2 linked regions of the Neodiprion lecontei genome follow. The protein of the gene in region 2 interacts with the protein of the main gene of each other region in a pairwise test. Links are inferred from orthologs where the notes say so. Each region holds a gene or a part of one and is shown on either strand. Other genes may lie near its edges.

Region 1 (10,365 bases), on a different chromosome or scaffold from region 2:
TGTTTAAGGCTTTAACCAGTTCAGTAAGTGGGATTGGAATCTTTTTATCTAGAGAGGCCCAACGGTTTTTTACTGCGAGCATAGCGAGATCTATAGGTACATTAGTAAATAGAGATACCACATCTAGTGATATTAGAATATAATTATCTGGAATAATCAGTTTATTTATTTTTTCAACCAATGTAAAGCTATCTTTGACTCTGGAGGTAGGGGGGTGATATTTGTGGTGAGCCATGAATTAATTAGGTTAGATAATGCGTAAGTCGGGCTATTAACAAAAGAAACTATAATTCGTAGTGGGCTTCCTTCATTATGGATTTTAGGGAGCCCATATGCACGTGGGGGAACACTGTTATAGGTAGCGATGCTTCTGTGTATGCTTTTGTTTATTAGTTTGGAATTGAACCATTTGAAGGTGAGTTTATTCACCCTAGTCTGTAGGGTATTGCAGAGGTCGTATCTAGCAATTCTATAGATGTTAGTGTCCGAAAGCTGTTGTCGCATTTTGTTATTGTAAGTGTTCTGTGCATGGCTACTGACGTATTGCCTTTATCTGCTTTTAAAAACATGATGTTCGGGTTGTTTTTAAAACAGTGTTCATGGCTCACCACAAATATCACCCCCCCTACCTCCAGAGTCAAATATAGCTTTACATTGGTTGAAAAAATAAATAAACTGATTATTCCAGATAATTATATTCTAATATCACTAGATGTGGTATCTCTATTTACTAATGTACCTATAGATCTCGCTATGCTCGCAGTAAAAAACCGTTGGGCCTCTCTAGATAAAAAGATTCCAATCCCACTTACTGAACTGGTTAAAGCCTTAAACATTTGTTTTGATTCGGCAATCTTTAAATTTAACAACGACACATACGCACAACAATTCGGGTTGCCCATGGGATCCCCTCTCTCTCCAATCCTGTCTGATCTGGTGATGGAAGACCTAGAAAGGTCATGCATCAGCAATCTAAATTTTGATTTACCCTTCTATTTCCGATATGTTGACGATATCTCAACTGCAGTCCCTAAAGAAAAAATAGACTACACACTGAATATTTTCAACCAATATCATCCACGATTACAATTCACCATCGAAATAGAAAATAATAATGCCATCAATTTCCTGGATTTACTACTGATACATAACAACTCTGAAATCAAAACAGATTGGTTCCACAAGAAAACTTGGTCTCAAAGATACTTGAATTTTAATTCTCACCACCCGATGTCATACAAGATAGGTACCATCTTTAATCTTGTTGACCGAGCCATCAAACTATCAAATATAGAATTCCATGAAAAAAATTTGTCACTCATATATAATATTTTAAGATGGAACGACTATCCACATGGCCTTTTACACAAACATATAAATAAGAGACGCTTCCATATCAAGGACCTACTAGACAATAATATTGACTCTGTTTCCGCAGCGAAAACAATAGACCAGCCACTACATTTATTCCCATCCCATATGTATCGGGCCTCTTTGAGTCATTGAATAGGTTATTTACCAAATACAATGTCAAGTTTGTGGGAAAAAATTCAAAAGACCTACAACTTGTCTTTAATTCGGGAAAAGATAGGATCCCTATGGGCAAACGTTCGAATGTTGTTTACAAAATACCCTGTAACGATTGCGATCAAGTGTATATCGAACAAACTGGCCGCCATCTAGACACTAGAATTAAAGAACATAAACGCAATGTACAAGACAATGAGGATCGACATACTGCTCTAACCAAACATGTGACCAAAAAACAACATACTTTTAACTATGACAATGCAAACATCCTTTGTGAAGAACCCAATTATTATAAACGGTTACTACTAGAAATGTGCAATATTGTAGGACACCCAAATTCCGTTAATCTTAAACAAGACGTTGAACATCTTAGCAATATTTACAAACCGCTGATTACCTCCCACACAGCACACATTGTTTAACCTTAACTAAGTACATAAATTTGTTGTCCCCAGGCCACATGTTTTTATAATTGTTTATACTTGTTCACCTTCACTCTTGGTCATATTTGATTCTCCCATCAGTCGTTGTTTACCAGTTGACTCAAACGGTTTAACAAAAATTGTTCGGACATGGAGAACAGGATCATAATGATACCAGTACCACCGTTTGGACATTGTTTTAAACTATTTCAACTACCATAAACCCTTTCTCTAAAACTTTTTAATACATTGACTTATAGACAGTGAAGATACACAGTTTTTTTAATTAATTACTTCCATATTTTTAACAACTATACTTTTAACAATTGGAGAAGCTGACAACGATTATTGTCATTTATTTGAAGAACCTGCGCTCGCCAAATTGTATTTTACGATTCTGACTGTATATTAATCCTCCTTCCTATAAAAGGTAAATTACTCTTTAAGTTTTATCACTTTATAACCATAACAGATATTTAATATGTACCCACTATCCTACAATAGAGAATAGCTTCAATAGTTTTACGTCTATAGTAATTAATGTCTTATTGTATATTTTTTATATTATAAAAAAATTTTTTGTCCTTGACAGTTAAATAAAAAAATTAATCGTTCTGAGGAGGGCCCATATCCGGGCCGAAACGTTAACGAAAATACGTTTTACATTTCTATGACCGCTCACCAAGATTCAATAATATATTATCTACGAGGTCGAGAATTCTTACCCTTCACGACAAAAGATACAGTTGTGTAAGTAAGTACGGTACAACAAATGTTCGTCAGTAATTACATTTACGCGCTATAACTATGCTATAATACAAGATTTATCAAAGTTTTTTAAAACAATTTATGGGGATTTAATAAGGGAAAAAAGTAAGCCCAAAAACGTTGAAATCGAATGAAAAAAAAAACAGACTTCAATCATTCTAAACGTTCTGATTATGAAACCTTTTCTTAGATTGTCAGCATCTTAGATTGTGTTATTCTAAGTTACTCACAATTATTTCTATTACATTTCCGAAATAATCTTTTATTCGTGTTCACTATCTCCAGGCCAAATAAAATTGCTGAGGATTTTTTACACGCTTATTTCTCTTTTTCGAATTGTTGATTTAGACGGTGCAGACCATGCAGTAAAACTCCAAACGTTTTCGGTTCGTGTAAGATTTTGACAATACGTCAGATTTCATACAAATTTATTGCTATCCTGCATGTTTGGATTTATTGTACGCGGTAAGTTTCAATCGATATTTGTTCAATTAAAGTCGAAAACTGGCATTATTCGAAACAAACTTTGTGCCACACCTCTCATCAAACTTTCAAATCGTTTCACAGCTATAATCCTGGCAGCATAGAAATCAACAATTGCTAATTTGGAGTTTAGTGATTAATTATCAAGTTGTGCCACTTGCTTGCAATTGTAAATATTCAGATACATTTGTAACTATCGTGCAATTCTTGAACACCCGATTTGATCTTTCTTTCGCAAAATTTGAACTTTTGTGATGGGAGATAATGTGATTTTAATTTAGGAACATAAAAAACTGGTAATGTTTACATAATTATAGATAATTCATGGCAAATTTCAATGAGTCGCGATCAACGAGGTGTGGTTCATTACACCTTATAACAACCACATTTCTAATCAAAATAAAAGATTATCATATTTTTCTCAATTTTACTTTGAAATACGAGTAACTTGCTGTGAAAAAACTCTGATACGATATGCCAGCCCTTGCGGAAAATCGTTGCTTGAGGCTATTAATTGATTATATTGAGTATGACTTGCATCTTATATTTGTTACAAAATGCATGCATATCATTATTTTGGACGCATTTTTATATTGCTGTGGTTATTGTCGTATCTATAATGCTTACTAAGCTTTTTCCAGCCTTTCGTCCGAACGAATAATCCATAGCAATGGTTGCCTTGGGCGATTCTTCTTTTTCCAAAAACCGGTAAACCATCGTAGTTTTTCCCTGAAATTACTATCGCATTATGGAATTTCGATTACACCGTCTTGACAACATCAATCAAAACATGGGCGTTTGGATCAGAGTTAATAAGCAATTTCCTACTAAAAATATTCAAGTACACATCATATACGTAAAAATAAAACTTGTAGGTAATTTTTTCTCTTTTCTCGAGCCACCCATATTTCTCCTTCTGTTAATCGTCTGTAAGAAAATTTCCGGCAAGAATTTAACATAACGTCGTGTAATTTAATTACACTCCGCACTGGCTCAATGAATGTGGAATAATCGATTTGAAACAATGAAGGTGTGCCTTTTCAAACGTTTTTAAAAGCACCCCATCATGCTTTCCCTTCCCCCTTTGAATCCATAGTATCCAGGGTTGTGGGCTCGACGTTGAAACCGATCGATAGACGAATATACGGAGCCGTATGAGTCGATCAGCTTTAAGGCCAGGCTACTGCTGCTTCGACTGTTAATTTTTTCATAAAAAACTTAATCACCGCAGTGTGTAAATTAAACAAAAATTTCTCGAACTGAATTTTGCACCTGGTAGGGACAAGCTTGTTTGTTAAAGGTAAACTCTAAAAAATTTTGAAAACAAAGAGAATAATAAAAACATAATGATCACAATGGTAGTTGATTTGAAATCGGTAGAAAGAAACGATATTGATTCAAGACAAGAAAGAATACGTCTATATTTTTTTTTTTTTTTTTTTCTGAGAGTTATGTTGATTTCACAAATTTAAACATGAATTAATGTTTGGAAAATTCATAACTCGTGAACCAGTTGAGGTACAATTTATTTTTTAATCTTGGATTCAAATTTCTACATAGTCAGAATTCGACCAACAAAAATCGAGCGAATCATACACTTCGACTCAAAATCTTATTCGCATTCAAATTTTACGCCCCATGGGAACTCTTGCGGTAGTCGAGGCGATTACTGACTAATGCCACGGCGTCTGATCACTCACCCATAAAACTGTATCTCATATTATATATCAACTCGCCCGACTATTCATGCGCGAGGGTATTTGTCTAACCTTGAAGTTGCTGTTTCCACCACTTACCACTCCTTTGCTTCCTATAATGATAATAGATCGTTCGTGAGTAATCGAACGATCGGTCTTCCGCTTATTTTCATCTTCTAAAGATAGTCGGAGTGCCATTTCCCTCATACTTTCCTCTCTAAACGAAACACAAGACATAAAACATGCGTAATAACGAGTGAAGTTATATTAACGCTGCTGCAGTGTCATATTGGCATAATGGTCCTAGAATTCAGAATTACGCTTTCTGGCGGCGGTAAATATGCAACACTAATTGCGTCATATTCAATGATGAAAGTGGTTTTTTCTCATGTGTTTTACTCTACATTGACTTAACGTCAGTAAATGAAAGTCCAACAAGCTGCACAGTGCTTCCTGCGGTTTCATATCTCCTATGTTTGCTTAAAATGATCAGCTGATTGCAATTTCCGACGCCATATTGTCCTAACCACGCTTACATCAGGGATCTTAATACATTCAATTGGAAACTGACGTAGAATAATTTAATCGCGAGGTTGAAGGTCGTTTATAAGAATTATATCGCTATTTTCCATCTCTTCGGAAAGGTTCGAAGTTCGTGAAAAAATCGTAAATGATGATGGTACAAAAAAAGAAAAATTAACCCTGTGATAAAATGAATGTATAACTTCATAATTGCTTTTTGGAAAGTTCTAAGAAATAAATCATATTTTCGGACACTATAGCAAAATTCAGCATTATTTTAAATTCAGATCACAAGAAACATTTTCGAGTTTTCGATCAGAACTCATGTATTCTATCGGATTCTCATGTTTCGTTTTACTGAAGATCTGATAAAATTGGAATTCTGATATTTCTGTGTATTTTTAAAGGTTATTGCACCATGAAACATTGGAATCATTTTCTGAGAGAAGAAAGAAATTTTTAGGAAACAGATAAAACTGATTTTTTTCATTTTCAATAACACTAGAATTACGAAAACTTGTCAGAAATTATCTCGACTCGCAAAGGGTACAATTACCTTTATATTCAGGTAATCTGAACTTGCAAAATATTGTAATTCACGTAATAACACGAACTTCAATCTCATAAGTAAAACAAGTTATACAGAACCCGCGTAATCTCATTTATTGGTAAATATACGGACTGCATTTAGGATAATAATCAATACGACGTAACAATTACAAGACTCACGTCGCGTCCATGATGATAAATGCTGATAAATTATTCCGTAACTGTTTATACTGATAAAAGTAGAAAGTAAATCATCCGACACGTCTATCCGTCGACGAGCTCGAAGGTTGAGCTTTTGTTTGCCCGAAAAGCGTTGCCATAGCATCGCAACGTCGGCGACATTTTGTATACGATAATGACTATATGCATGTCTATCGCATAAGCAATTTGTATGAAACATGGCCTTGGGAATCCACGAGGAAAGAACCAACAAGCGAAAGGTGGTCGGTGGAACAACCACTCATATTGTATCCAAGGACTTTAAAAGATTTCACAGAATTTCCGATGATTTCGATGAGATTCTAGAAAATTTCAATAGATCTAAGAATATTTGAGGCATTCCATGTGATTTCAATGATTTCGCTAAATGTCACAGGATTTCGAAGGATTTTACGCGATTTCAAAGATATTAGGTAATTTCAAGACTTCCCGGATCTCGGAGATTTTATGTAATGCAGTTTTGAATATCTTAGGAAATTCGAGGAGTTCAAGAGGTTTCAGATAATTTCACATTATTTCACAAGATTTCGAAGGATTTCAGATATTTCAAGTGTTTTCAAAGATTTCAAAGGATTACAAGACTTTAGAGATTTTAAATGATTTCTGGGATTCGAAGAACTTCGGATACTTTACAAATTTTAGATGCTATCACAAGATTTTGCGTAATCGCAGATGATTTGACGGGATTTCAGAAGATTTCAGAGAATTGAAATGATTTCAGATGATCTCACGAGTGGCATAAACCAGGTTTCAAGGGTGGTTAACCTCTCACCGACAAAAATTTCAATGTTTGAGACAGAAATAATTATTTATATTTTTATAATAACTGTAAGCTATATTTATTTTCATAGTGTATAATCAGATTGAAGAAGTTGCAGTAACAATACCAAGACACTGTAGTGAAACGGTGAATTGGCCTTGGAAATGCAGCCAAGTGCAGCTTTCGACAGGTTTTACATGTAATACGTTATTACAACATCCGAACTCTATACGGTCGCATTGCCATGAAAATGTAAATAGTTGGATGGCTGCAATCAATACCCTGCATTATTGAGGGTAACACGACGAGTCAATGCTTCTCAATTGTTTATTGAATAATAAATAACGAAGAAAATTGTCTTCCGGTGAATGAACAGACTCCATATGGCTTGTCACAATGCGGCGACAGCAACGGCAACATGATTGCAATATTATTAAAAGCTTGTATCTTACAGAACATGTGTTTACTATATATTATGTATATTCTTAAAGTCATTTTTTAAGTGTCTACACCAACGTTACGTGTGTAAGTAAGTGTAACGCATAATTCTTTCAGTATTTTTATCATACTATCAATAACGATATCGCTCAATCGGTTATGTACAAGATGGACTAGACAAACACAACATTGGAATGCTCAGGCAGTATTTCCACTGTTCGTTAATAGTCGCTTAAAATTACTTAACAATTAGGGTGCTTTTTTTTGAAGCAACATGTTTTCCGCTCCTATCAGTCAAACTTGTTGATATATAGAAAGAAAATTTACGAGGATAGACAGACATTACTTATGCAATTTTAGTTTTTCTTACATTGTCACGACTTAACCGCTTTTAACAATAAAGACTTAATCCTACCTAGAAACATTTTGTAGAGAATTAAACTCTATGGATAAACGTGTGTAGAATTTTTATTGTTAAATCGATAGTTCAGCCACTAAAGAAGTTTAAACATGAATTCTTATATAAAATGAACTTTCGAGGTTTTAACGTTTAACGCTTTTGAAGAAAATTCTACCCTCTAAAAATGCTTCGAGGATTAAGTTCGTATAATGAAATGCGTCTGAATGGTAAATTTTTTTTAAACAATTAGTGAAATCTTTACAATGTTAATCAAATGGAAAAATTTGAAATTCCGAGCCACCTTTCAAAATTGAATTTGAAGGATAACCTACTGCATTTTTATTTTTTATTTTTATTAAGTATTAGTTTTTCATTTGGGAGCGAAAAAAAATGTTGCTCCATAAAAAAACACCCTAATAACAATATGGAAGTAAGTATATACATTTTTTACATTAATATTTATACTGTTTGCATACGTGCACGTTTCTCAAGATGGAGGCTTTTTGCATAGACAATAAGTTTGATTTCACGGTCAACATGCATGTTAAGAATAATTCAAATATGTAAACTATAGTATAACAAGTACGTTGACAAACTTAAACAAAATATTTTATAAATTGTTTAAATTTCAATATTTCGTATCGCAGAGCGATAACAATATGCAAAATTGTTCGAATATACAATTTTTATCGCATATTAACTAGACCCATCCACCTTGATGCTATTTTGAAATGTACCTACATTTTCCACAAAAAAAAAAAAAAAAAACACTTCCATTTAAAGAATTGAATATTATTCCTAATTACACGAGAAAATACAAGTTGTACCATCTTTAAGTAGAAATTGTATAACGATAAAGCAGAATCAAAATTGTGATAATAATTGAATGGTGGGATAAACTAAAATAGTACCAAGTAATTATTGATGCCACTTAATGTGTAATTCATAAAGACTTGATAATGTGTATTCAAAAATTGCACTGAAAATTTTTAAATAGAAAACCGTACATTAGCAAAAAAAAAAAAAAACAAATTACGAACAAATTCAAAATCGATCGCAAAAAAAAAAAAAAAAAAAAAAAAATGGGTGCGACAGTAAATCAACTATTCAGACCACGCCGAACCAAAATTAAACATTTCAAATTCTTACATATATCTTCTGATCTCATGTAATTTAAATATATCTGTGTAAGAAATTAAAAAAAAAAAAAAACTATATATGATTAGTCAAACCAGTTTTGAGTAAAATAAATGGATAATCATTTCACAATTTTCATTCAAATATCATGAATTTTAGGTACTTTCGACTTAGATATCAAAATTGTCTACCGGTTTATTAAGCTATTGTATTAACCCTTACGCTGCACACCGGGGTCAAAATGACCCCGTTGCATCTTCACCGTATATTCTATGTGAAAAACATCAAAAATAATCTGATTTGATCCAAGATAAACAATGTAATATCATAAAAGTCATTAGTTCATTCTTTTCCCAAGAATTCAATTTCACTCACTCAAATGGATACTTATTTTTCATCGTGCAAGTATCTTCATATTTTTTTTCTTGATTATCTCTGTCTAGAAAAATACTGAGTAAATTTTCAGCTCAAAATAGTGAAAATTCAGTCAGCTATGATTTTCTGAGTAGAATAATTAATTTTTTGGTACATTGTTGATTTATGATTTTTTTTTTTGCATATTCATAATTTCGTTTTGCTAAATTCATATAATCTTCCTTGAAACGTAATAGTCAAAGAGTATCCCAGAATTTTTTCAAGGCCTTTCAATCGATATCTCCGTTTCCAGGCAATGATTTTTGACATGGGGTCTCCAGCGACCCCAGTGAGACACCAGCGTAAGGATTAATATTCTAAATGCAAAATCCACGATATTACATTACATGAGATATTTTCTAACAGAAATTTATAAGTCAAAACAATCAGTGTTGTTAGAAAGTTATATTTCTAAAATTCCTACTAATTAAAAAGAAAAAAAAAAAATGTTTTTCTATTTCTCCTACCCAAAGATACCAAATAATAATAATAAATTCACTAATCGTATCGCAGTGAAGTTTTCTGAAAAATTGTATACACTACACTTTAAATTTTTAATTTTTGATCATATCCCTGACGTTTCCAGGTAAATTTCAATGCTGAAATAACACGAAGAAATGTGTAGAACTAGTATTAATTTCTTGTTGATATTTTGGTCCTTCGACTACAAACTTCGCGGTGTAATTGAGAAGCGAACAATAATTCACAGGTATGTATCACTAATTATCGGATCAGTCTGAGGCACCTTATACAAGATGAACTTTATTTACATTCATAATATGTTACGGAATGTCGTTTGGATGCATGTAGTAGGTAAATTTTTTCACCTTTTCGCTACTTTAATATCAGAATATCGGACGCGATTTTTTTGTAACATGTTTAGTAACAGTGCCTGCAGTCATTTACAGATTTAAAGCCATGATATATCAAAGATTGCTCGCTCTATTTTTATGTACGTTTTTAATTTTCACCCTTAAAAGTAATTAGTTAAGGCTTTTTCTTAGTGCGTTAATTAAATTTAAACAC
Region 2 (11,204 bases):
CAAAGACCCAGTACCTTCGGCGGAACGGGATATAAACTGGGACAAACTAGCAGCGACACAGAAGGTATTATGAATCATTTCTTAATGAAATCAATCATTCATTAATACTCAGTTTTACTTTGTTTAACAGAAGATGTATATTTTGATGTTTCAATCGAAAAAACTCACACTTTTGCCAATAATATATCTTGAAAGTTCTAATACCCTCTTATCAATTACACATAGTAGCAGAAAACCCATTACATTATTTACAGAGTATTCTTATATCTCGGATAAAGCTTAATTCAAAATTATAAAAAATTGTTGCTATTAGTAACTCCCTCGCCATCTACTCAAGAAAGCAATACCGGATTGATCACATTGAAATTATGGCGAGAAGGGTTCACTTTGAACGATGGTGACATTAGACCGTATAACGATCCTGGTAACCGAGAATTTTTGGCTGCTATCAAGCGTGGTGAAGTTCCCATGGAGATACGTCAAGAAGTACAAGGTGCCGAAGTCAGACTGGATATGGAAGATCATCGTCATGAAGAATTTGTACCTCCTAAAGTCAAAGTAAAGGCCTTCACTGGGAAGGGACACATGCTAGGAAGGTTGTTAACCATTTTCAACCACTAATTTGCTTTTTCAAAATTAACCACACGATTCTCTCCTTTCCAATATTTTTGATGAATCAGATTTGTAAAGTTTTTACGTTACTTTGAACCCAACATTTCTAGGTATAATTTCAAAGTATCTTAACTCAAAGTTCGGGAAAATGTGACATCCACTTCTCATGGCGTTAACACACATTAACAAATCTAATTATGTGTTTGCAGCCCATCTCCAGCAACGGTAGGCATGACCGTTCCAGTTGGTTCTGTAGATCAAACAGCGAATGAGTCACAAGCCACAAGAGAATTGAATGTAGATTCTTCTCAACCAGTGACAACAATTCAGATTCGATTAGCAGATGGAAGTAGCATCAGAGCTCAGTTTAATCTGACACACACAGTTTCTGACATTAGACGTTATATTTCAACGTATCCTTTACTATCAGATTTTTATAAAGAATTCATGTCTTAGTATGAATACTCAATTGCTGATGTATGTGTCTATATTGTAACGGAGGGCAATCAAGGGATTGCGCGTAACAAAATAAGCAGGTTCTCTGTGCGTAAAGAGCAAACATTGAGTCAAAGAAATCTGTCGGCAAAGCTGAAATCACGGAAAAACAGATATAATTGAAATGGATTTTCTCTTTTTAAAGTCTGAAGACTGACTGTTCTTACAATAATGTTCAGTGGTTCAGTAACCGTACATACATCAACAAATGATTTTAGCTGATGATGGGTTAATATCTGTAACGGCATTAGCCGTGCCAGGGTATATAAAGGTTGTGAACACAACTTCGTTAGAATATTATGTATAGATATAATTTTTTGAATTGTTTTGAAACTTTCCTCAACTTTTTATTAGTATGAGACCCCAGTATGCAGCTAGTAATTTTCGTCTACTGACGTCATATCCAAGCAAAGAGTTGACTGAGGAGAGTAAAACTATTGAAGAAGCTGGACTTAAAAATTCTGCTATAATGCAGCGACTGTAATAGAAAACGTTTGTGAGAAAAAAAAAAAATTGCCCAACTTCATACAACTGTAACTCTTAGTTTAACGAATATACCTTTGATCATTTCCAAATCAGGTTTTGTACAAGCAACTAGCGACTTATTTATACTTTACATAACTGATTTACCAACATCAATATCACATTAATTTATCCAATCATAAGGAAAATCTCAATTTCTTTTTTTGTGGAGAATTTTGTTTAAAGATAATATCATGTTACGCAATGAAAATTAGTCTAGTTACTGATGATTACGGAGGAGCTTTGCATAGCAATCACAGGAGCGTGGATTAGAGTGAGTTGAAGAATGCGTAAATAAATTTGAGAAATTGAATATATGACCTCAAATTTAATAGTTGAAAGGGGTAAGGTTATTGTACAAAAATATCATTGATCACTCATCATTGAGTAGTGTAAAGCCAAAATTCGATTATTTATATTACGTAAAAAATAAAAAAAGAAGTATCAATGTTTCAAATTACAATATGACAACAGTTCATCTCATAAGTCATATTACGTATACAAATCTTTAGTACTTTTGAAAATATAAATAGATAAGCATATCGCAGCAATGTTTGTAAAATCAGAGTGAGTGGTGAGTAAAACATAGCCCATATTATTGTGTATAAAACTTTTCGGGCCTCTTTTGGCACAAATACGCCAATTGTCAAGTTCAAAAAAATTATGTAACTCTCACTCAATGTTTGTGCTATGAATTAACGGATGGTCCAAGAATAGTTTCCATTGATACTTTACCGACTACCTTATAAAATCTATTCAGAGCATAATGGATGAATATATAAAAGTGCGCGAGGGTAGTCATCACCCGAGGGAATAATCTTCAACTTTATTCCCTTGTTACATAACGTACTATATTTTAGAGAATATATATATATCTATACACATTTGCGATATGTTCATTAAGTGTTAGAAATTTTTTGATTAGAAATTATTTCTAACAGTGATATTTTTTATTTCACAGTTACGATTATTCCTTCTTGGCCATTGGAATTTTTTTTTCCTCCACAAGGTGATCAAAATTAGACATGACAAAATGTATGCGTGAAAACTGGAATTTTTCATTGATCTACCAGATAAATTTTTTTAACCCTGAAATTTATATGAAATCGATTGCTTAGAATTTGTTTAGCTTCAACTCAGTTTCGCTTACGAAAATATGGAACATCAACTGGTTTCAAAGGCTGATTGTATGGCCAGTCCTTTTCGGTCTTAGGCGGATATCCATCGATCCGTACAACCATTCAGCATATTTAGGAATCTGTTCCTCAATGGGAATTTCATATTATTTACATTCACCGTATTGTACCCGATAATTAAAAAAATAATCATTTGCTGATTGAGCTTTGTCTGGTCATGTATTGTTTAAAAATTGGCGCATTTATTATATTTTCAGCAAATTTTGAAATTGATCTATCATGCGTATAGCTCATTTCATTTTCGGAATTTGAACAATACTGATAACGATTTACATTGATTAAGTCTGCACCAGGCGAAATATAGCTATCAATATCAATACTATCTGTAATCCAACTTTTGTGTGGTTTGCTAATAGAAACGTGACGATTTTTCATGCTACCCTCGGAAATCTTGCGAGTTTTTTTAAAAATCATTAGTGTGGTGTTTCCAGTTGGATGATAGTCCTCTTGTTGGGTACAAAACAATGATGAATTCAGTCGATAGTGATCACTAGCTAATAAGCCTTTCTCAAAATCTATTAATAACTCTGCCAGAGTATGATGATATTTTAAAACAATGTACTCTTCCCAGTACAAAGTTATGCTATATTTGACTTTATTGTATGTACGATAAAGACAGTCCCTTTCAGCAATTTCCCCAGAAATGCCTGGAGAAATTCTAGTATAGGGAAAATTCCATGGTACGACAGTGAATGTGACGTTAAGCCCTTGGCTATTCATTATTTGTTTCATAGTATCTGTAAATATACTTGGAATACCGTAATCGTAAACAATAAAATGATCAACTCCGATCATTTGATGAAAACTTAAGAAGTTCATCATGTCCGTACGAGAAATAGATCTGTTTAATGGCGGAGCTATGCATATGGCTATATCATTGGTTATCAGGTTATGTGGTAAATTTTGCACACTTAAAATTGGATATTCACTTTCAGATACGTCCCTTTTATTAAAAAAGGACACTCCTTCAGGGATAGCAGGCTGAGAGTACTCACAGACAAACTGGTACGCAGCATACTCTAAATTTTTCCTAGATTGGCTTTTAAGTAAGTTGCTAATTCTTGAATGTTTGAATATCCCCAGAACATGCTGTTCTTTCCCTTGGATAAACACATGGCAATTTATGTCTGGAATGATATATGTTTTCCCAAAGGCGATCCCTCGGACTTCATTTATGTTTGCATGGTAAGCTGCGTAAACAAACAAGTCATTGTTTATTCTTTGCCAAGATGGTAGTGGTACGTCAAAGTGGAGATGGAGATCATCGGAGATATCAATCTCTCCTAAGCGGTTGACGTCAGGTTCCTTAACTCCGGGCTTACCAAAGAAACTTATCACTTCTAGGACGTATCGCAGTTTGTTATATTCATGCCTGTAGAATAGCAATGATACCACACTCACCAGAGCTGTGATAATTAATGCTGCTTGATAATATTTCCTCATGCTGCTGTTATTGGGGCGTTTTGTTATTGTTATAGTCGTTGCAGTACGTGTACTACCACAATTATGTCTTAGATGGGCCTGTGCGATATCAAACCCCTCTTTTATCATACTAATCTGGTTATCACCCTGGCAAAGAAAATGTATTATGTAGGTAATCAATTGTTTACTTTTGTAAGTCTTTTTATCGTAAACAATGTGCGAATATGATAACGTGTGACAAATATTTCAAAGCATACCTGATCTAAACAGCTCTTTGGTTTGTTCGTTCTTCAATTAGGAATAGAAGAATCTGCATGGCAAATAAATTCCTATGGATATTACTGAATCGTGTGTTTTCTATGAACGTAGGTCAATGGAATTGATCTATTCACAATTCATTTCATACCGGTAAAAATAGAAAGTGAAATAAATTAGAAGAAACATAGACGCGCCGTAACATTTTTTCTGTGGTACAGTTGTGGAGATTTTGAGATTGGCATTCCAGTCTGGTTATGATGACAGTAATCAAGACTGACATCTGAGTATACGTGATGGTAACATTCGTTCTTGATGTCTTTACATACCGATAGTTCATCGACTCAAGTTGCGCCACGCAGAGGGCACTGCTTGACGATGAATTTATGTTGTCTATTTTCGATAGATTGGATCGGTTAGATTCACTTCCTCAGATTCGATGGTCATGGATTGTGTTATGTTTATTGAGATTGAGTTTGTTTTGCGTTCGGCCGACTGTGGCGCTGCAGGTTTCTCTGTGTGCCAACATAACTGTTTAGTGTAAAAAATTAGCCGTCTCAGATTCATTGTCCCTAGTGTACATACATACCGATACATACCCACACCATCCAACTTATCACCATCATGGCGCATGCGTATGGATACTCCATTTGTAACATTGTGTATTGGATGCATTAAATATATGTATATGTATACATACATCCATACACACATCGGAATAGCATCATACTATCGCAGCGCAGTAAATGAACGATATGCCTTAAATGCTTGGTGAAATCGGATGAGTTGAAAATTATTTTACTTCTGAAGAGAAAACAAAAATCATAATTACTCATATCTCCACCGTGGGCATTGCGTTGAAACAAGTTTCTAGCGAGTATGGAAACTGAACCGGTAGAACTTGAAGATGGAGAAGTTGTGGATGACGAGGTTAAACATTTTACGTTTGACAGAAAGCTAACCTTCGTTGATATCTTTACTCAATTCTGCATTTATATCTACAGGAATAAGTTAATACGGTTGATTTGAGTCGCGATTGTTACACAACCATTGCATTCGATCACAAACATCGATGAGTTTTATGACAGAATCCGCGTTTACCAATATCCACTTTTTTTTTAGCATTTCAGTTTTTGGAAAGACTGATATGTTTCATTAAAGTGTAAAAATTCTGTAAGGACTCTTTACAAAGCCTAGTATATCCATAAATTTTACATCATTTACCTTTGTACAGGTTGTCGATGCGTTCGAGTACAATGTTTTAGAGCGGCCTCATGTTGCCCCCAGACCTGAGGATACATCGTCCAAACTACATTACAGTGATGAATCAGATGAGCCCACGGAATCTGAAAGTGATTCGGACTCAGATTCGGCACATACTTGTTCCAAGAAGCCAAAGATGAAGATAAAACGGTGGAAGAATAGAGAGGTAGAGAAAAAAGAAGCTCAAGACAAGTACAAGGTGTGGTGTATGCAGGTTCAGGAAGAAGCACTCACGGAGGAACTTGTATCATGCGGGGTCACTAAGCGAGATTATCAGGGTAGAAATGTCGAATTCTATGACTTCACTGTTCGATATTCCCCCAATGAACAACAGACACCAGCTGAACTTAGTTCGGATACTGAGAAAGATGCTCCACCTAGGATTAACAACAAAAGGACAAATGAGGATAGGACAAACCTTAAGTTAAGGCTTGGTAAACGAAGAAATTCTATGGAAATTGATGGGCAGCGAGGAGTTGCGAGAAAAATACTTGACTTGCGCACCACTGCCGATTCTGATGACGGAGACGTAGCTGCAGATATAGCGGAAAAGCTGTGCGAAAAGAAAGATGATCTCATAAGTAAGCAAGAGTGTGAATGTCTTTTTATTCGTAGTTATTCCTGTTAAGGGTAAAGTTATCATCATCTACACTGTGATGTTGATTTCAATTTTCAGAAAGAGCAGTGAGTATAATAGGAAAAGAAAAAGCCATAGATTTCTTCGAACAAACTAAAAAAATTGAGGAAGACGGGGGAATGATGATAGTGAACGGATCACGTAGGAGGACTCCGGGAGGAGTTTTTTTGTTACTATTGAAGCAAGATGATCACATTCCTCAGGAAAAAATACGAGCAATTTTCCAAGAGGACCGTAAACAGACTGTCGAACAGAGAAAGCAGGCGCAAGCTTCCAGCAGGAGACGGAAAACACAGGAACTAATGCGGAGTCTCGAAAGTAATTCAAAATATAACATATTATGCAAATCATTTCATATAATTTATACCTCTAGATTACTATACAGTGAAACTTCTTTTAACGCACACCTCCCAACAAGGATTCTTCTTTACAACGGACAGTATAAAAATCTCTAGAAGCAGAATTTACACGCTAATATTGTTCTGAATAGTGGACACTCTTCAATAACGGACAATATGTTTAGTTCCGAAGATGTCCACTATTCGGAAATTTCACTTACGCTCTTTTTTCCGAAATCTTACTGTAACATTTACAATGTAAAGCTAATCTTCGCACTTATTGATTCCTTCATAATCTAAAACATTTCTGGACCAAATTGTAGATGGCTCTGAAAAGGATCTTCCAGCCCTACTAACGCGTGCCGAGCTCTCAACGAGGCAGATCGCGGAGGAAGCGCGATTGAGGAGAGGGGAGGGTCGTGATAGAGAAAGAACTCCGCCAGACTCTGACCGTCCAGTGACAAATCCACCACCCAGTCCCGTAACAGATGATCCCGACCACACACCTCCGTCTTCACGTAGACAAGTTCAGGATTACGCAGCCGATGACTTCCTTGAGATTGGGGTGGATGTCGACAGCATGGAGTTGTTTTAAAATCTACGAACAAGTTTATATTACGCGAGCGTATCGATATTATCAATTATTAGCTCTATTTTAGAGCTGGAAAGTTGTCTCAAACTTTACAGAGGCTGCTGATGTGTTTTTTTATACGGAAATTTACTGCATTAGGACAGTACAGGTATGCATACAGATTGGTGACTGAAATAATTACTTGGCTATTGCCTGAAGGTAATTACGATCAGTGAAGAGAGAACAGTACAAGTACCAAATAAACAATGTCGTTCTCTTTTGTTATTCACGTTTTTTTTGCAATTGATATAACTATAAATATCTGTGCATGAATCAAAAATAGCTAAAATAATTTGAAAAAGCTGCATTCACTTCTCCTATCCGTTGGATGAAATCCGCCTTTAAAGATCTCCGAACGGGCATAAAATATTCTCTTTTAGTTTTGTCAGATTCGTGTTGTTTGGCACGTTTTACGTGTAGTAACGTGGTATAGTTTATGCTTAATCGAATTTTATGTAAATTCACACTGTGTTTATCCTTCGCGTTTGTTTCTACCCGGTTTCTGAGTGGACGCCAAACAGATTTTAATGTTTCTATATAGTTGAAAGGAAACAGGAACATGATTGCAAGATGCCTATATCGTCGGGGCGCAGCCTCTGTTACCGAATTAAGCCAATAAATTTATGTACAGGAAGTTACTTTTTCAGGCGACTTCTTAGATAACATGTAATCATAATGTATGAAATATAAGAGATCGAACTAAGTCTAAGCGCCGATATTCTGAAACGAAAAATTCATTTTGTAATATATAATCTCCTCGGTAAGATCCGAGAGCATTTTGTGTGTTTTATTAATGCTATACTGAATCAACCCAGCAACATATTTCTATGGAAACGGTTCTAAGTCGATTCCTCAATTTTGTCACTCAATATTCGATTAAGGAATTTTTTTTAATTTTAATTCCGGCAAATAATCAACGAACAATTTAAGTATACTGACTTTGATCCCAGTCCATATTTGGATAAAAATAATTGAACAAATGTTTTTGATGTTTGCAATATTTTATTTGTGGTTTATTTGTTGTCATTTTCTATTCGGGAAAAAATCTTCGTAGCTACAAATGTTATCTTATTCCTATGGGCTTATGCCATTTCTCAAAAAGACGAAAGCTTATAAAAGAATAGGGACCGTTTTGAGAATTAACATTAATATGTCAAACCCGTCATGGAGTGGAGTTTTTTTACGGTTATGAAAATGACCCGAGGCTGTGATATCGTAATTTACTGACATCGAGAATAAACGGATATTGAATGCATGTATATAGCACCGAGGGATTGGAGATTGTTTTTTTTTCCTCTTTAATAACGCTAATTTACTAATACTCAATACCTACTACTGAAAGTAAATTACTATCATGCCCTCCGGTGACTTTATACATATATACCTATGGCCTTCGGAAATTGTCTTCAATACTGGTTTAAGACTGTATCAGACTTCTTAACGTCCATCATTCCAGGTTTCAATATGAGTTTTTTGAACATCATTAGACGGTTTCCGCGTAGACTTTATGAAGTATGTTTTAATCATTTTTAAATTTCGCCTTCCTTTCTGTTTAATTTGTTAATCGCATTTGTCAAATTAAATATTACTTTTCTGTTCCGTCTCTATTTTTTCATTATTTCGCATAGCTGAAGATTCATATGCCGAAAGGACTATCCATTTCTTAAAATTTTCAAGTCGACATTTTGATACGGATTCATTTCTTCGGTAAATCGAACTTTCGCGATTTCGTCAGTTTCCTGAAATTTGTGTCGTTCCTAGAAGACAATCCGCGTGTAATCGTTCCTTTGCATGTATACATACCGAGACAACGAATCTGTGATCAACTCATGGAATCAACTAAATTTACGATTTCTTAACGCCAAATAGAAATTCAGTTAGTTCAATTAAACATTAGTTGATGTAATTAAAAAATAGTTTAAGTAAAAATGTCATCGATTGATGAAGTGATGTTTAGTTGCAGTGACTAAATTTTTTAGCGGCCCTTCATCGCCGATTTGCTAATTGATTCAATCGATTCTTTTTCTCGGTGTATGAACATACATACATATTTTTTATACGCCGCGCTATATTATACTGGTCTACAGTGACGAGAGGGTTGTTATTCGCAGATGGATATGTGACGACACAAGATTCGACATTGGTTTAATATACTTACGAAGCAGGAAGCATTCAACGATCTGAAGCGGAAATCTATTTCCACTATTCGTGTTCGTGGTTTATTAAAGTAAGGGTCTCAGTTAATGAGCTTGTCTCAATTATTGACATTTTTTGAATGTGTCCGTTTGATCTTTAGTTCTAAAATTACTAAAAAATGAATTCGTAGTGCCTAACCCTCTAGCGATTGGTTGTAATCATCGAGAAATTCACAATTTGTGTTGTAAATTTATAATTTTGGAAAATAAACGGGTCAATAATTGGGTCTAAACGTGTGAATAACTGGTACACTTACCTTATGCTTATTTAGCTTTTTTCTCTCATTAAGATCAGTTTAATGAGCTTTAAGGATTATTCTTGGTGTACGAAAAGATGCGTGACTTCTTGTGCGTCGCACAACATGACAATGCTTCTTCTCTTCAGAATTTCGACAATCCGTTTCGTCACGACTTATCATCTATCGCGAATTTGAATGATGTTCAGTTCCCCGGCCATATTTCGCCAGCTACGAGTCTTACACACTCTACTGAAATATCTGTCACATTTCAGTGTATTTGATGAATTTTCATTCCACGTTACATCTACTCGTTACGGTTTTATTATCCGTGTCATAACTTATACTGGCATGTTTCGTGATATATTTCGTTGACTTAAGAATGATTTCACTTTTCACCGCGTTGTATAGCACTTCTCCACTTAGGCATAACGCTATTATAACATGTACTTGCGATATATCCTGTCACAATTTGATCACGTTTAAAATTTCGCGTATTGTGCTGTATTGAGAAGTAGGAAACTTTAACGACGTATACGGCAAACTAATATTGCTGAAACGTCTTACATCAGAAACATAATTTCACGATTTCCAATGTATCAGCCAGATTTCCCAAATCAATCAATATTATGTTACAATAGCGTTGACACATGGCAATCGTTGCCATCAAACAGAAAGGACGACCGCATTTTGTCCTTGATGGTAAAAATATGACCACGATTGCGCATTATCTATGAAGAACGTTCTATGAATATAACTTGCTCGGTCGCGTAATGCAGTTTCAAAATTTTGCTGCGCATGAAGTAATCGTACGGTTAGGTATTTTCACGATCAGTTTTGTATGTATAAAAGTAGAATATTGTGGAAATGTTGCTGCAATCTGTCTGTAATGTATTTTGCACGCCAGATAAATATCAGAATATTTCACTGCAATCTTACCGAAGTATTACGAAGATAATGAGTCCTGCATACAGTTAAGGATTTACAGGTAAAGTTTTTAGTTTCTCGCTCTCGAAGAAAAATATTGGTATAGTTCTTAATGACATGTTTAATAACAATATACAGAAATTCGATGACCAAGTTAAATTATAAAAAACCCTACATGTGCTAAGGTTTAAAGTGCGTAACAAGAACGGTGGAAAGAACCATTACGTGTATTAAGAACATTTAAAAGCAATAGCGAAGAGCGGAGGAGAAGGTGAGAGGCCGTGGTTTTTCCTCGAAATGTAGAACTTATTGTGAACTGAACAGTTATCGGAAAGTTTTCCCAAGCGCAACTATCAATTACTTGAATCCGAAAATACCTTCGGGCTATCTGTGCGAGTTAAGTGGCTGCTAGTGGCAGAAGGAACGGGATATTGATGATGACAGAAGATATATAAACCAGGAGTTATTCACAATC

The links. The genes of interacting proteins can lie anywhere in the genome.
Region 1: the proteins of phosphorylated adapter RNA export protein (region 2) and cytoplasmic dynein 2 light intermediate chain 1 interact in a two-hybrid assay, tested with the Drosophila melanogaster proteins (2 studies listed by BioGRID). The link is inferred for Neodiprion lecontei from reciprocal best matches to the Drosophila melanogaster genes Phax and CG3769.

What each region holds. Positions count from the first base shown.
Region 1 is NC_060261.1:16,697,442-16,707,806, forward strand, and holds the start of cytoplasmic dynein 2 light intermediate chain 1, read right to left. Parts: upstream 6,120-10,365; 5' UTR 5,138-6,119; coding exon 5,000-5,137; exon of another isoform or gene 4,973-4,999; intron 3,942-4,972; exon of another isoform or gene 3,933-3,941; coding exon 3,831-3,932; intron 1-3,830. Other genes in the region: uncharacterized protein LOC124292848, read left to right, coding at 9,957-10,048.
Region 2 is NC_060260.1:40,515,351-40,526,554, forward strand, and holds phosphorylated adapter RNA export protein, read left to right. Parts: upstream 1-5,213; 5' UTR 5,214-5,381; coding exon 5,382-5,432; intron 5,433-5,736; coding exon 5,737-6,346; intron 6,347-6,441; coding exon 6,442-6,720; intron 6,721-7,063; coding exon 7,064-7,335; 3' UTR 7,336-8,630; downstream 8,631-11,204. Other genes in the region: NSFL1 cofactor p47, read left to right, coding at 1-64, 314-596, 822-1,025, 1,462-1,591; uncharacterized protein LOC107224896, read right to left, coding at 2,955-4,376.